Sus scrofa: one gene and its partners. The protein of the gene in region 1 interacts with the protein of each later gene in a biochemical or structural test. Links are inferred from orthologs where the notes say so. Each region holds a gene or a part of one and is shown in the gene's direction. Other genes may lie near its edges.

What was found. The genes of interacting proteins can lie anywhere in the genome.
Region 2: the proteins of PAFAH1B1 (region 1) and DCX form a complex in vitro, tested with the Homo sapiens proteins (2 studies listed by BioGRID). The link is inferred for Sus scrofa from reciprocal best matches to the Homo sapiens genes PAFAH1B1 and DCX.
Region 3: the proteins of PAFAH1B1 (region 1) and NUDC form a complex in vitro, tested with the Homo sapiens proteins (3 studies listed by BioGRID). The link is inferred for Sus scrofa from reciprocal best matches to the Homo sapiens genes PAFAH1B1 and NUDC.
Region 4: the proteins of PAFAH1B1 (region 1) and NDEL1 form a complex in vitro, tested with the Homo sapiens proteins (3 studies listed by BioGRID). The link is inferred for Sus scrofa from reciprocal best matches to the Homo sapiens genes PAFAH1B1 and NDEL1.

The regions. Positions count from the first base shown.
Region 1 is NC_010454.4:48,710,329-48,713,828, forward strand, and holds part of PAFAH1B1 (platelet-activating factor acetylhydrolase IB subunit alpha), read left to right. Parts: intron 1-418; coding exon 419-503; intron 504-1,020; coding exon 1,021-1,095; intron 1,096-2,001; coding exon 2,002-2,208; intron 2,209-3,500. UniProt on the Homo sapiens protein: Regulatory subunit (beta subunit) of the cytosolic type I platelet-activating factor (PAF) acetylhydrolase (PAF-AH (I)), an enzyme that catalyzes the hydrolyze of the acetyl group at the sn-2 position of PAF and its analogs and participates in PAF inactivation.
Region 2 is NC_010461.5:91,641,773-91,645,734, reverse strand, and holds the start of DCX (neuronal migration protein doublecortin), read left to right. Parts: upstream 1-1,162; 5' UTR 1,163-1,316; intron 1,317-3,714; exon of another isoform or gene 3,715-3,773; intron 3,774-3,962. UniProt on the Homo sapiens protein: Microtubule-associated protein required for initial steps of neuronal dispersion and cortex lamination during cerebral cortex development. May act by competing with the putative neuronal protein kinase DCLK1 in binding to a target protein.
Region 3 is NC_010448.4:84,237,463-84,241,494, forward strand, and holds the start of NUDC (nuclear migration protein nudC), read left to right. Parts: upstream 1-1,232; 5' UTR 1,233-1,340; coding exon 1,341-1,421; intron 1,422-3,804; coding exon 3,805-3,882; intron 3,883-4,032. UniProt on the Homo sapiens protein: Plays a role in neurogenesis and neuronal migration. Necessary for correct formation of mitotic spindles and chromosome separation during mitosis. Necessary for cytokinesis and cell proliferation.
Region 4 is NC_010454.4:53,600,408-53,604,603, forward strand, and holds the start of NDEL1 (nuclear distribution protein nudE-like 1), read left to right. Parts: upstream 1-1,396; 5' UTR 1,397-1,577; intron 1,578-4,196. UniProt on the Homo sapiens protein: Required for organization of the cellular microtubule array and microtubule anchoring at the centrosome. May regulate microtubule organization at least in part by targeting the microtubule severing protein KATNA1 to the centrosome.

The DNA.
Region 1 (3,500 bases):
CTGCAAAACTAAATTTCCTTTGCTAGTCTTTTAGTGTCTGTTAGAATAAAAGTAGTAAGGGAAGGCTAAATATAAACTATAAACATGAACAAAATTCATCATTACTGTCACAGAGTGATAACTAATTAATAAGCCATATCTATAGAGTACCCACAGTTTGTAAAGTAAGGAACACATTAGAACCATAACTAAAAGCTCAAGAGTAATGTTATAATTTTGTGGATATACTATGACAGGGCTGAATGTTTTAGAGGCTGGGGGGGCATTGGTTCCTTTTCTTGTGAAATACTTGTATGATTTGGAAGGTAATAATTCTTAAAAGAATGTCTTAACATTTATGAGATTTAAAATAAAATATTTTCTGTTCAAAATAGAAATGAGAGTTTATTAAGAGTCATTTGAATTTGTTTTCTTCCAGAAATCGAGCTATAGCAGATTATCTTCGTTCAAATGGCTATGAAGAAGCATATTCAGTTTTTAAAAAGGAAGCTGAATTAGATATGGTATGTTTAAATTTTTTTTTTTGTCTTTTGTCTTTTTAGGGCCGTGCCCATGGCATATGGAGGTTTACAGGCTAGGGGTTGAATCGGAGCTACAGTTGCCAACCTGTACCACAGCCACAGCAATGCCAGATCTGAGCCGAGTCTGTGACCTATACCACATCTCATGGCAAGGCCGGATCCTTAACCCACTGAGCAAGGCCAGGGATCGAACCCACATTCTCATTGATACTAGTCAGGTTTATTAACCACTGAGTCCGACGGGAACTCCATTGTTTAACTTTTTAATAATTATTTCATGGTGTACTTAATAAGTGTATTTTACTCAATTATCAGTAGTTAATAGTCACCTCAGTTACTCAAAAATCTTGTCATTTGTAACTGTGGTTTATTTGGCACTAAACTCGGTATACAGTCAGATATTTTTAGTAATGTTTGGGCTTGTAGATGAATGGTCAGTATGGCTTGAACTGTTGTACTTGAACCATGTTTTTTTAAAGGTTCTCATTTTTTTCTCTAGAATGAAGAATTAGATAAGAAATATGCTGGTCTTTTGGAAAAAAAATGGACATCTGTTATTAGATTACAAAAGAAGGTAACTAAGTCTTTTTTCTTTTAAGTTAGTTGTATTCAGAGTATTATACAAACTTTGAAAGTATCAATAGAACATATTATTATTCTGTATTAATTAATATATTTAACCTTGAAAAGGCAAATAAAAATACATTTCTCTACATTAAAAAAATTTTTTTTTTTGATCTATTCAGATCATTGTTGATATATGCAAACTAACTTATGCATCCCAGGCTGGGTTGAACCTAACACAACCTCGACTTTAAGGATTTGATACTTAAGAGCCCATTTATACAGTTAAATTGGAAGAACATATGGAGTTGATATGATCCTGGGAAAAGAGCACTAAAATGTGCACTTAGATAAGACATTTTCATCTCTGAGCTTTTGTTTTTATTTATAAAGTGAAGGCAATAAGTAGTATTCTGGTCCTAAAATGTATACTTTGGGTAGGCAGAGTTAGAATAAATGACATTATACTGGGAGTTAATCTATTAAAAGCTCTCAGAAAAGTACCTAACATAGATGCTTATTAATATTAGCTTTTTTATTGTGAACATTGTGATTAGTATGTATAATGTAAACTGCGGTTTGGAAAGAATTTATTGAGAGTGGCAGACTTAGATGGAATCAAGATAGGTTCCCTACTTGTCCTTAATTCATATCCTGGTACCTTCCAAGTTTTTCTTTTGAGTTAAGTGGTCAAAACTCAATTCTATTAAGGCTTTCTCAGTTTTTAGTTTTGTCACACTACTAAAATTTTGGTGATATATAATACAGATCTCTTTCAATTAAATCTGACAAATGTTTTTTAAATTACTAAAATTTTATTCTGCATATATGGATGCAAAATAAAGGCAGTTTTTAAAACACCGAATATGCTATTTTTCAGAATCTATCTGTACGTAACTATGTGTTCTTTCTCAAGGTTATGGAATTAGAATCAAAACTAAATGAAGCGAAAGAAGAATTTACGTCGGGTGGACCTCTTGGTCAAAAACGAGACCCAAAAGAATGGATTCCCCGTCCACCAGAAAAATATGCATTGAGTGGTCATAGGAGTCCAGTTACTCGAGTCATTTTCCATCCTGTGTTCAGTGTTATGGTCTCTGCTTCAGAGGATGCTACAATTAAGGTAGTTTTTTTTTTAAAAAAAATTGGAAGACATACAATAGGATGATTGTTAGAAGCAAATTTAATGTTAATTGAGTGAAAGAAATCAAAAGATCCTGAAATGAGGACCTAAGCAGAGGGACAGGAGGGCCTTTTTGAAACTGTGATTGGTTCTTAACCTTAAAAGACAGAATTAGAATAAAATTTCATTGTAGCTCCTTAGAGACAAACTGCCAAACTAATTTACTGATGAATTTGAGAACAGTGAGTATCACTAATTAAGCATTGGACAATAAACAATAGGTCACCTAGTGCTTGAGTAATTTTTGTTCTTGGAGAATAAAAATATAAGTGTGTGTCTTACTTATAAGCAGAGATGTTAGATGAAAATACAGGATTATAAAACTAGTAATTCAAGGGATGAATATAATTCTGCAAAAGAATTCAATAGAGAAATTTAAATTGTACTTTCCAAACTTAAGTAGTTCTCCTCAGGGGTGTGGGAATGTAGAAGCTTTTCACTTTATAAGCTATGTATTTCTCTGATTTTTATATTTTTCACGATAAGCATATACATGTTTTTTTCTTTTTACAGCTGCACCTGTGGCATATGGAAGTTCCTGAGCCAGGGGTTGAATTGGAGCTGCATCTGGGGCTTACGTCACAGCTTAACGGCAATGCAGGATCCTTAACCCACTGAGCAAGGCCAGGGATCAAACCCATGTCCTCACAGAGACAACGTCCTTCATCCACTGAGCCACAATGGGAACTCCCATTTTAATATTTTTTAATCATAAAAAAGTTGTTTTTGTAATTCCCTTTGGTCCAGACATAATACATTGACAGTTGTATAAACCACCTACAGAAAGGTAAGTAAAATACAGTTTTAAAAATTTAGGTTTCTCTATTCTGAAGCTTATTTCAGATTAATTTCTAGATTTTAAGTTTTCATTTGTAGAGGTATAACTAAGAAAATGTTTGTGGGAATTCCCATTGTGGCTCAGCAGTTTAAGAATTCAGCTAGTATCCATGAGGATGCAGGTTAGATCCCTGGCCTCACTCAGTGGGTTAAGGATCTAGCATTGCCTCAAGCTACAGCATAGGTGGCAGATGGGGCTCGGGTCTAGCCTGGCTAGCTCCATTTCAACCCCTAGGCTGGGAACTTCCATATGCCACAAGTGCAGCCCTAAAAAGCAATAAAAAAAGAAAAGGAAAAAGAATTACAAATGAAAGTTTTAAAAGTTTTATCTATAATCATACAGCATATCTCAACAACTACTGAAAGTTCTCCCTTCCATTTAGTCTTTATGTAAC
Region 2 (3,962 bases), on another chromosome or scaffold:
TCCTCTACCTATTTGTAGGACAAGTCGGTTGTAACCAAGGCTCTTGATTATCTGAAACGGGAAAAAAGAAAAAGGGACCCTTTTAAAACAGGCGACTGTAAAAACAGCAACTATGGCAACCAACTCCAAAATCGGAGCACGGGCGGCCAAAGAGTCGAACTGGAGCCGAAGTGTTAGTTTTCCTTCTTCCCCGATTCCGGGCCCGACAGGGCACCTCGCTAGCCCTGAGGGATCTAGACGCCCCAGCTCACCACATCGTGAGAGAAATGGGCCCGCAAGAACTAAGAGACCAGGCAAAGGCTCTGAAAAAGGTGTCGCGAGCTAGGGGGAGACCAAGGAACAGCTTCGTCGTGGTCCCACAGATGGAACTGCGCGAACCTCACGCCCTGAGAGGGCGCTGCGGGGATACCGGTCGCGAGGGCGCCTTAGGGAAGGAAAGGCGCCAGGGCCCGAACGCGGCGGGGCCGGACGAGGGCAGGACGGGGCGGCGCGCCAGGCTGAACTGGTCGGGCCGGGCCTGACGGAGCGCGTCGACCGCGCGGCCCCGAGCGGCCCTGAGGAGCGGCCGGCGAGGCGGGCAAGGGCCCGAGAGGCGGGTCGGAGCCCCGGCTCGGAGAGGCGGAGCCGCTAGAAGGAGGGGCGAAGCCGGAGGACGGAGAGGCGGAGGCGGAGAATCGGAGGGGAAAAGCCGGGGAAAAGGAGGAGCCGGAGAAAGGACGGGGAGGAGCGGCCCGGGAAGGCGGCGGGGAACGGGGAGAGGAGGCGGAGGACCCTGAGGAGCGGGGGAGTGGGAGGAGGGCCCAGCTGGGCGCGGGGAGGAGCCGGCCGAGGGGCGTCGGCACCTGAGGTCGAGCGGCTGGGGGTTCTTCCCGAGGACCGCGGTCAGGCAAGGTTACCGAGGTTAGCGGTCAGGCTGGCGGCGGCGGGCGGCGAGCAGCGAGCGGCGAGCGCAGCGCGGCGAGCCCAACCGCCGCCCGCCTGCCTCCCCCACTCACTTGCAGACTGTCGTGCGCCGATACACACGCAATCAGGTCGTCAAAGCTGGTGGTCCCTACAGTAACAAACACGCACTTCATCGCGCGGGTTCCGCAACCCCGAATCGCAAGGGCCGGATGTGACGTAGCAGAGCCACGCGGGCTGCCGCGGCAGCGCTGGGTGTGGGAGGCGGAAGTCGGCCCCAGCCGCCAGGGGGCAACGGGAACCCGGCCTGTGTTGCCGGGAATGGGAGGGGGCCAAAGACTGCTAATGGCCTACGTGCAGGCTACTGTTGTAAGCCCTTTGCGTGTAGAAGCTCACGGGACCCTCACAGTAAGGAGGTGGGCAATTGACAAATGTATTGTTTTTCAAAAGTGGGGGTTAAAACAAATAGTAGTGAAGCCTTACACCTTTGTGTTTGCATCCTTGCTCGAGTACCACAGATCTTTTAATGGTAGAGAAGTTTGGGATTCTTTTTTGGCTACCGTGTTTTGCCAAGATAACGTTTTACTTCAAGTCTGTGAAGGGCATCGGGAAAAAAAGAAGTGCCTTTTCAAAATCGCTCATTAGCCTAGGCTCTTCTTCAACAGCAGTTTTCGAGAAACCACAGCCCTACAAAGTCTCTTGGAAACTGCAGAGAAACCGTAATTTCCATTTGCAAGCATTGTTTGTAAAATAGAGGCGTTAAGCCCTGAAGCCCACATTTGTGTCGTTGAACCAATCCATTTAACCATTTAAATAATAAAATTACCATAAATTTACATTCTAATGAATGTAAAATTATATATTAGCATGACTGAATACCTCATATACTTAGGTTTATGAAGTGAAATACAGGAGAGTTGATTTCTGAAGGCTCCCCTTCTTTCTCCTTGCACCATTGCTAAGATCATTGCCTGCTTTAGCTCATTCTAATGGTTTGTGTATTTCCTACTTAAAATCTCAGTTTAGCTAATATTTATGCTTTGCCCTGACTGGTTATACATGGAAGGGAAACTATGAGAAGAAATTCTTTTCAACACAGAGGATTGGTAGTGAGTTAGGCCTACAACATAGGCTAAAAAAAAGAACAAATATTAGTCATATTTCTAATGGGACTGTTAAATCTTGCATTTTGACTAATTGTCTTTTTGAGGGGTGGTATACTGCTGCCTCTTTCTTGATACCAAATTTCATGAATTAATGAAACTACAGTTTCATAATAACAACATAGATCATGGTTAAATAATAAAGCAAACATAATCATATTTTCTGCCCCAAAATAAGAGGAATAAAGAATGTTTATTGGAATATAAAGACAAAAATACTCAGTAATTTAGAAAGACTGCATCTGATATCTTTTCCCATATCTGAAAGATGTAAATTAAAGGAGCACTGTTCTGATTAGCTCAGAGAAAATAAGCACATATATAAATTGAATATTCTTAAATTCCCAGAAAATAAGAAAACTGAATTTCTGATGAACCAAGCCCCCCCTAAAATTGAGCTTCCTTACCAATTAATGATTTATCTCTCCTTCCCTGAAACTATTCCCTTGCTTGTCTCCTCTGATCTCAATTCCTTTCTTGTCCCCTCTGACCTCAATCCTGTTCTAGCTGAACCCTAATCAGCCAGAGTCAGACGACTAAAATTGCTATTGTTATATCATCATTAAGGTAAAAACTCAGGTAGTTTCTCCAAGGCAAGATGAGCTCACAGGCCTCCGAGCCAGACCACCTGGCCAGAGAATCCTAAACCAGAGACCTCTTGACTCCTGAAATCACGATAAAGGAATGTCACAAGACAATGATTAATTCCAGCTTCTTCTTCCCCTTTAAAACATCCCTAACTAAAAGACCAAGAAGGAGTGGATCTGAGACCTGTATTCCTCTCCTTTGCTTGGTGCCTTGCAAATGAACATTTACTTTGCTGCAAATACCCTCTGCCAAGTTTGGCTTTCTATGCCTCAAGCAGAGGAGCCCCTGCTTAGTTACATTGATACATTTAAAGTGCTAGACTTTAATAAAACATCTTGCAGAAACATTTTAAGAACCCAAGATGACATAATTGATGGAAAATTCTGGCGATTAAGTCTTTTCTCTGTTTGGCAGTGTTAAATATAATACAAGCATGCACAATCATGTATCATTTTCCTAAACTTATACAGCCTTACTAGTTAAATAAATTAATGTTACTTCTAAAAAAAGGTTTTTTTAAGGCCACACCTGCAGCTTATGGACGTGCCCAGGCTAAGGGTCAATCGGAGCTGCAGCTGCCGACCTTCACCACAGCCACAGCAACACCAAATTCAAACCTTGTCTGCAAGCTACACCACAGCTGGGGGCAATGCCAGATCCTTAACCCACTGAGTGAGGCCAGGGACTGAGGGCAGGAATCGAACTGGCATCTTCATGGATACTAGTCAGGTTCTTAACCCAATGAGCCACAATGGGAACTCCTAAAAATGTTTTTGATTATGAAAATGTAAATTTCTTTTAAAGTCATGTTGAATCAGCATTCTGACAAACTTTGTTTCAACAGTAACTATGTTTTATAGTAAGCCAGCTTGAAGATAATTTCCAAGATCTTTTAAGCACCTTTAAAAAGATTGTGTATTGGCATTAATTGAGTTAATTAATGTGTAATTGTTGCACAACTACTTTTTAAGTAAAATAGAATATTGAAACATTAGTTTAAGCATAATTATTTTTTAATCAATATAAATTTTTTTATTTTATGATTTTTATTTTTTCACTATAGTTTATTTACAGTGTTCTGCCAGTTTCTACTGTACAGCAGAGAGACCCAGTCATATATATGTATGTATATATTATTTTTCTCACATTATCCTCCATCATGTTCCATCATAAGTGTCTAGATATAATTCCCTGTGCTATACAGCAGGATCTCATTGCTTATCCACTCCAAATGCAATAGTTTACACCTATTAACCCTAGACTCCCAGTCCATCCCACTCCCTCCCCCTCCCCCTTGGCAACCACAAGTCT
Region 3 (4,032 bases), on another chromosome or scaffold:
AGAAACAAGTATAGCAAATTTTTTTCAAGTTTTGCTGTCAAAGAGATTTTAAAATTGGGATAGGAGTTCCCATCGAAGCTCAGTGCTTAACGAATCTGACTAGGAACCATGAGGTTGCGGGTTCGATCCCTGGCCTTGCTCAGTGGGTTAAGGATCCGGTGTTGCAGTGAGCTGTGGCGTGGGTCGCAGATGCAGCTTGGATCTTGCGATGCTGTAGCTCTGGCGTAGGACGGTGGCTATAGCTCTGATTGGACTCCATGTGCCGCAGGAACGGCTCAAGAAAAGGCAAAAAGACAAAAAATAAAATAAAATAAAAAATAAAAAAATAAAATTGGAATGGTAGGAGGAGAAAAGTTTGTGTGGGGGGGTCATAGAAGAATAAAAAAAGAAGTGGCATTAAAGTATATTTGTAAGTTAAAAGGGATGATCCAGAAGAAAGAAAATTGTGATGCAGATTCATTGAGTAGGGAAAAAAAAAAATTCTGATGCAGGAGAATTAGGAAAGGATAGTAAGAGTAGAATCCCTGAAAAGACTAAGATGATGAAATTCAATACAAAAGTAGAGGGTTTGGCCTTAGATGGCTGGGGTCTGTCCCGCACAAAAGTGAAGTTCGAATTTAGCACTCATTACATAATTTGCATGAAACTGCGCAAAATGACAATGCGGGGTTGGGGGTGGGGCTCTTGTTAAAAAATATTAAGAGTCTCAGGACTGCAGCAGAAGAGCATTAACCCCAGCACCAAGGGACTTTCTAAGTCCGGGTCCCCTGCGACTGCACAATTTGTATGGAGTATGTGATGACAACAGGGGTAGGCTGTCTTTTGGGGCAAGTTCCCTTCTCCTTTCTGGGCCTCAGTTGGCCGATGGAAAACTTGGAAGAGATGATTAAGAACGCTTTACCGTTCTACAAGCTCAGCGGTCACTCTCAAGGCGTAAATTCAAAGTTTGTGCTTTTTCAACTTTCAGGCCCGCGTGATTTGAGCCCAGGGTTTTCTGGAAGGCTCCAAAAGGTTCCTGGTGACCATAGCAACTCACACCAAACTCAGAGGCCTTCGACTCCGCCCACCGCTCACGGACGCGCTCTTTGATTGGCTCAGCAAGTCGACCAATGGTCAGTGAAGCGGGCTGCTTGCCGCACGGTCAATGGCCGCTGGCCACAAGGGAGGCGGGAGGAGAGAGCAGGCGGGCGGGCCAAGGCAGCGGGGCGCGTGCGTGTTTCCGTCTCCGCTGCGGAAGGCGGAGGACTGAAACCGTTGCACCGGACGCGACCCGAAGGCGCCGAGAGCGCGGGACGCGAGAGCAGAGCTCAGATTTCGGAGCGTGGCTAGCAGCTGGCAAGATGGGTGGAGACCAGGAGGAGGATCGTTTCGACGGCATGTTGTTGGCGATGGCGCAGCAGCACGAGGGAGGCGTGCAGGAGGTAACGACCCGCTCGGCATTGGCTTGGCCTGGCCCACCCAGGCGGCCCAGCCACTCTCTTTCCTCCCTTCGCTGCCTTCGAGAGACGAGATCCACCCCTGGGCCTTGCGGGCTTTAGGATCCCGCATTCTCATTGCACCCCAGCTTCTAGTCTGGCCTCCCCGCCGCAAGTCTTGCGCTCGGACCAGTTCTGGATCCCTGGGGCCCCTCAGTAGTTACCATCTTAACAGCTCTGGCATCCCTTTATCTGCCCCTGGGAAGGCCCGAGTCTTGGAATCCCTTCCCCCTCTTTAGTCTCCAACCTGCTTCCGGCCCTTTTCCCCTCTGGTGGCCGCCCCCAAAGAACATCCTTTAGGATGTTCTAGGCATTGAGATTTGCATGTACCAAGACTTGGGGCGAGCGGAAGAATGTATGCGATGTGTGGGGGTGGGGGGGGTGATATTAACACGTGGTCTTTCTAGATCTTGAATGAGAGAATAGGAGGCGTGTTTTGCATTTCCTAACAACTTGGACTGTTTCATGTCTCCAAGCTTCAGTTTCTTTCTTTGAGACAGAGCTACGAATCCTTACTTCCTGAATTTGTAGGAGAGTAGTGTCTTGAAGTGAAGGACAGTGAAGAATTCTCGGTAATCAGACTCGAACATTCAACAAGTGTTTGTTGAGTAATTGATGTGTGCAAGAACATAATTCATGCTTAGTGACCAAACCCAATAACATGTGTAGGAAAAGGATAAGGACCAACTAGTAAAGATTCTGGAGTTGGTTTTTTGGACGATGGAAAGTTAAACGTAGCAAAACCTATCAAGATTAGTCTTTCTTTAAAGAAACTGAAGGAGCTTGCCCAAGCTCATCCAACAGGCTCCTGGCTTAGAGGGGACCAGAATCCTTAGGCCAGTGTGTGCTTTCCACAGTCCATTGTTGATTCTGTGTCTCATTGGAGCCTTCCATTCCCATTCTCATTCAGGTCCCTGTGGGAAGAGTGCTACTAATTTGCAGATGTGAAAGTCTCCCTTCTCCTACCCCCCTAAATTGTTGTTGCACCTGGATTTGGAAGTGAGTTCATTTTTGAGTGAATTGAAAAAGTGTCCAGAAGCAGGAATTGAAACTGTTGAGATAAATTCTAGCGTCAGATTTAGAACCTCTCACTTGGGCAAATAAAAGGGCTTATTTATATGTGCCAACCCTCAGTCATCACTAGATCTTTTTGCTCAGCAAAAGTTTTCTGAGCATGCACTCTGAGCCAGGTCTGGTGCCAGGCCTTGGGGATGTACACAGAGTCATGGTTCATGGTGCCTACTTGTGAGGAGCTCTCTCTGTGGCCGAGGTTCTTTAGCCAGACGCTATTAAGGACCTCACCTGCATGTCTTCCTTTGGTCCTCTCAAGGATCCTCACGTGTATCCCTAGAAATTGGTCCTGCTGCTATTTCTGTTTCATAGAGTTAAGACACTGTCCCCAGGTCACAGAGCTAATGTATATCAATCTAATGGCCAAAACGATGCTCTTTTTTTTTTTCCTTTTTAGGGCCACACCCATGGCATATGGAAGTTCACAGGCTAGGGTTTGAATCAGAGCTGCAGCTGCCAGCCTATGCCACAGTCATAGCAACGCCAGATCCAAGCCATGTCTGTGACCTGCACCACAGCCCACTGCAACGCTCGATCTTTACCCCACTGAGCAAGGCCAGGGATCGAACCCATGTCCTCATGAATATTAGTTGCGTTCATAAGCACTGAGCCACAACGGGAACTCCCAAACCGACGCACTTAACAACTTGACTGCACTGATGCACCCAGCCAGAGTTAGCTGGTTTTGGAGTTCCCTGGTGGCCTGGTGGTTATGGATCCAGTGTTGTCCATGCTGTGGCTTGATTTTGATCCCTGGCCCCAGGAGCTTCTGTAGCTAACCTCCCTCCTCCCCTCAAAGAAAAAAACACCAGAGTTAGTGGGTCTTAACCTTCTTTGAAGTGGCCTTCTTTGTTCTCTCCTTCCAGCTCTGCCCTAGTAACTCAGCCAGCGCCACTCTGGATGGGCTTTTTGCTACATGGAGAGGAAAGCTAGGCCCCAGGCATTTCAAACCTGGATGCAGTGCCCCATATCCTCAGGCTGCTTCTAGCATCACAAAAAATGTGAAATACACATATGCATATACACAAGAAATGAGAATTCTCCCTTTCTGTTGCTCTAGATCAGGTTAGGTTAGGCTTCCTGGCAGAAGTAACTAAGGCAGGGCTGTTGGGGGGGATGTTTTCCCAGTTGGGAGGCTCAGGGTTGAAATGGTCCAGTCCCAAGTTCCTTCCTAGGTGAAGGAGGTTGCTTGTGTGTGGTTAAGGGGCTCCCTGTATGGCACCTCTACAGCTTCAGTCTTTTGCCTTCTGTCTTTCAGCTTGTGAACACTTTCTTCAGCTTCCTTCGTCGCAAAACAGACTTTTTTGTTGGAGGAGAAGAGGGGATGGCAGAGAAGGTGAGTGTTGGCGAGCTTACCTGGCCTTCCTTTGGCATAATAATAACCTTTCGCAGAAGTTAACACGCCAAGGGCAAGAGTTGGGGAAGGAAAGCATTTACTGTCATTTATTGAAGTCCCTTTCCTTGCCAAGTGCTTTATCTACCCTGC
Region 4 (4,196 bases), about 4.9 Mb from region 1:
TACGCCAGAGCCACAGAGACGCGGGATCTGAGCTGTGTCTGTGACCTACACCACAGCTCACGGCAACGCCAGATCCTTAACTCACTGAGCAAGGCTGGGGATTGAACCCGCAACCTCATGGTTCCTAGTCGGATTCGTCAACCACTGAGCCACGAAGGGAACTCCGAAAACTCCTTTTTCTAGTTGAGTGACATTGGGCAACTTCATCTCGCTTAGTCTCGGTTTCCTCATTGGTAAAATGGGAATAATAACAGTACCTATCTCATGGGGTTATTGTGAGAATTGAATTATGCAGACAAAGCCTTTGGCACACCTGCCAGTACATACAAAGGGCACAGCAAAAGTAAACTGTTCAACCTGCTCTCCTTCAGAGTCTAACTCAAAGTTCCATACTTTCTAACACCCCAAATCACTTTTCAGATTTTCACTGGACATCTCTTAGAATCCATTTTGTGCTGTTCCCCTTTATGTCCATGCCTTGAGGCTCGTACCAACACATCATTGTGTCCAAAAGCCCCACAAATCCAGTCCCAAGAGCACTGACATAAGAGAATTACAGGGTACGTGAAACGTCCAAAGTTCCTAAAATTGCTTTTAAAACACTTCTCTTTCTCCAAGTTTCCACACACTAATCAGCTGCCCTTCATTTCTCTCCTTTCTGAGCCAGTCTCTCCCCACCTTCTCCCTCCACACCCCCAAGTCTTCTTCTCCAAGTCTCCTAGGGGATGTACATATATATGGATTCCATTAGTTGGGGGCCCTGAAGGGATGAAAACACGTACGCACATATGTACATATACATGGATATATTTATATTCCCTTGGTGCCCTCAATGAATCCATTCACTCATTCAACAAATATCTGAGCACCCACCCTGGGACCAAGCTATCTGCTGGGATAAGCAAGGAATGAGGTTCCGGTTCTCATGGAACTTACATCTTACTGGAGGAAGACAAGAAGTAGCATAAAATTTCAGCTAGTGGACGTGCCCTTAAACCGACATAGCTCCGTGTGAGAGTGTGACGGTGCTAGAATACACCTGGTACGGTATTGGGTGGTCGGGGTGGACTCGGATGTGAGATCTGAGCCGAGATTCTTCTTTCAAACGGGAACCCCGAAACAGACACTTGTAGGGTTTGGTGGATGAAAACTGGGAGGCGGGTTCTCATCTACGGTAGTGCCACTTTCCGGAACGCAGAGTCTTTCCGGGGACCCGCGAAAGTCGTAAACGGCACGCCGCGCGGGCCCGGGGCGCCTGCGCAGAAGGCCTCCGCCAGCCTGACGTCAGCGCGCCGGCCCGGCCCGGCCCCGTGTGACGCCATCCCTGCCACAGCCCCGCCCTAGCCGCCCGCGCGCTCGTGCGCATGCTCGGGCCCCGCCCCCGTGCGTCACAGAATGGCCTCGGACACCCAGGCAGCCTCTGACGTGTCGGGGAGGAGCCGGGCGCGGAGGTGCGCGGAGTGGAGCTCAGGACTGCGGCGGGGAGCGGAGCCGAGCGGCTGGGCGGGCCTGGCCAGGCCAGCGGAGCGGAGACGTCGGTCGAGCGGTGGCGAACATGCGCTTTTGACACATTGGAGGTGAGCCTGCCGTGCGGGGCCGCTCCCGAGGGCGCCGGACCCGGCCGACGGCGCCGAGGCCTGTCCCCGCGGAGCCTGCCAGCCCCGGGGGCTGTGTCCGAGCCCCCGCCGGGCTGGGCCGGGCCCGGGTTCTGGGGCGGCCAGTCCGGGGCCAACTGTTTCAACCGCTCTAACTGCCCCCTCCCCGCCCTGGTCCGAGGTGTGGCCCACCTGGGGCGCCTGGAAGGGAGCGAGCCGGGCGGCCTCCGGAGGATGTGCCCGCATCCGGGGGTGGGGTGAGGGATGGCGGGGACGGAGGCCGGGACGTGGCACCGTGGGCCGGGAAGCTGGTCGCGCAAGGGGTGGCTCCGCTGGAGGTGGCAGCGGCGCGCCCAGCCCTCCCCCTCCCCAGCCCCCATCCCGCATCCCTTCATCTGGAGGGTGGTTCGGAGCCAGGTTGGATTCTGAATTCTCGTTGCTTCTCTCCCACGGGGGGCGAGAGCGGAAGCTGCCCACCTTGAGCTCCGGTGGCATTCCTGTGATTGCCAGCTCCGAACTGCTAATTACCCCTCTCGGAGTTCAGGAAAGTGTCACCAAACGGGTTCGGGTTGCTTGTACTCGCCTTTGTTTTTTAGCTGGTAAGCAACGAAGTGACCCTTTTAAGGTTTGCCTGGGAATTGAGGGTGCTTCACGGATAATTTCATTACGTTTCTCTAGGCGCCTTTACACGTTTGAGAACACCCTTGTTATCTCGGCTTTGAACCTCATCACCTCGTTAGTGGTTGTCTGTGATTCTACCCATAGAGAAATTGAGACCAGGTCGGGTGGGGGTTTTGGTGATTTATTCTGTGGATTCCACCAACCAGTGAGAGGCTTCTCTTGGTTCAGAATTTGCGTCTCCCTGCCTGGAGTTGTGGTTTCTTTCCGTGAGATTTTTACATCCTTCTCAGCTGGAGAGCAAAATAGTAAATTTGACTTGCCAGAACTATACCAGAAGCTAGTAGAAGATTTATTCAAATTTTTTTCAGCAGACCCACCTAGGATGAGGATTGCTGCTCAGTTTTAAGAAAAATCCTACGCTGAAACTTGTCCACGGTTGGCTAATTATTTTGTCTGATAAGTTGTGTTGCTTTTAATTTGTTTATGAAAGAGGGTAATGGCTTTGCTAAGTCATGAAGTTGGGGGGGTAAAATGCAGCATTAAGTCGTGTTGAAGAGAATAAAAGGGAACTAAAATATTTCCTCTGAATTTTTATTAAGTTGTTTAAAATCAGATGTCATAAGGAACAAAATCCCCCCTTTGGCCAGCCCTGGTTTCACATTGACCTGATTCAGATAGAAGTTGCTAAATCTTATGAAGCTTTTTTTTTTTTTCCTGTTTTGGCGTAAATTTTTTGTTTTTGGCTGTGGTGTGCAGTGGCTTGATGTGGGATCTCAGTTCCCAGACCAGGGATTGACCCCAGGCCACAGGTGAAAGCCCCAAATCTAACTACGCTACTGCTCTGGAATTCCCTGTTTAGGTTTTTTTAATTAAATAAATTGAAATTGGGTGAGGAATGCTTAAAATAAGTAGAAACCTCAGTAAAAACTTAGATGTTGCTTTCATGATCTCTCCAACACTTATTTTTATTTTCATGTTAAGTCATGCTGGGGTAAATTTGGTTACTAAAGCTTAAAATTACTTCTGACATAAGTTTTTGCTCTTTATAAGGTAGAAAAATAAGTCAGGACCAAGAGGGAGACCATATTTATGCTCAACTTTGAAAAGTTTGAAATTCTGTAATTGTTACTTTTGGGAGAAGTAGAAGAATTTCGTAAAAAGGTATTTATTATCTACGGTGAATTCCAGAAGAACTTTTCCAGCCTCAGGAGTCCATTCTGCAACGATCAACAAAGAGACAGTTCATATAAAATGAATTTTCTTACCATTGCACAAAGAATAGTTTCTTTGTAAATACAGCATTTTGAAAGGCTGTTTTATGCCGTAATGAGTTGATTTGTCAGCTGCCAGACAGCTGAAGGTCATATACCGTATGCTAATGACCCAGGTAAGAGTTGTTTCGGGGTCACGCCCCATCCATGAGACGCCCCATCCATGAGACGTGGCGTTGAGGGAAGATTGGGTATCGGCAAAGAGTATATGATCATCTACCCTCATTTCAGCTTCAAGATTATAGATGTGTCATTAAAGCTAATTTATTTATTTATTTGTTTTTAGCAGTGTAGTTTTCTGTGTTGGCCAACTCTCTATAGCCTGATATCTCCAGTTACAAAGTTTCAGATAACACAGTGAACACATCCTCCTGCTGTAACTTGAAGCAAAATGAACAGATTGTCTTTATTGCCCCTGAGAACATCTTTTGAATATCTGCAGTGGCAGCACATTTTTGTTATCTGTAAAAAAAAAAAAAAAAAATCTGATTTTTGGAAAGAATAAATCTGATGAATAAAATTAGCGTGATTAGAGTGATAAAGCTGGATGATATTAGGAAGCAGTTGAAGCGAGGTGGGACCACAAAGAAAGAGCTTTTTGTTTAGTTTTTAATCTAGTTCATTAAGGCTATTTCTAAAGAGATTGTAGAAATGTTTTCAGTAATGGTGGTATCACTGAAATATGCACATAGCTTCCAGAAGTGATTAA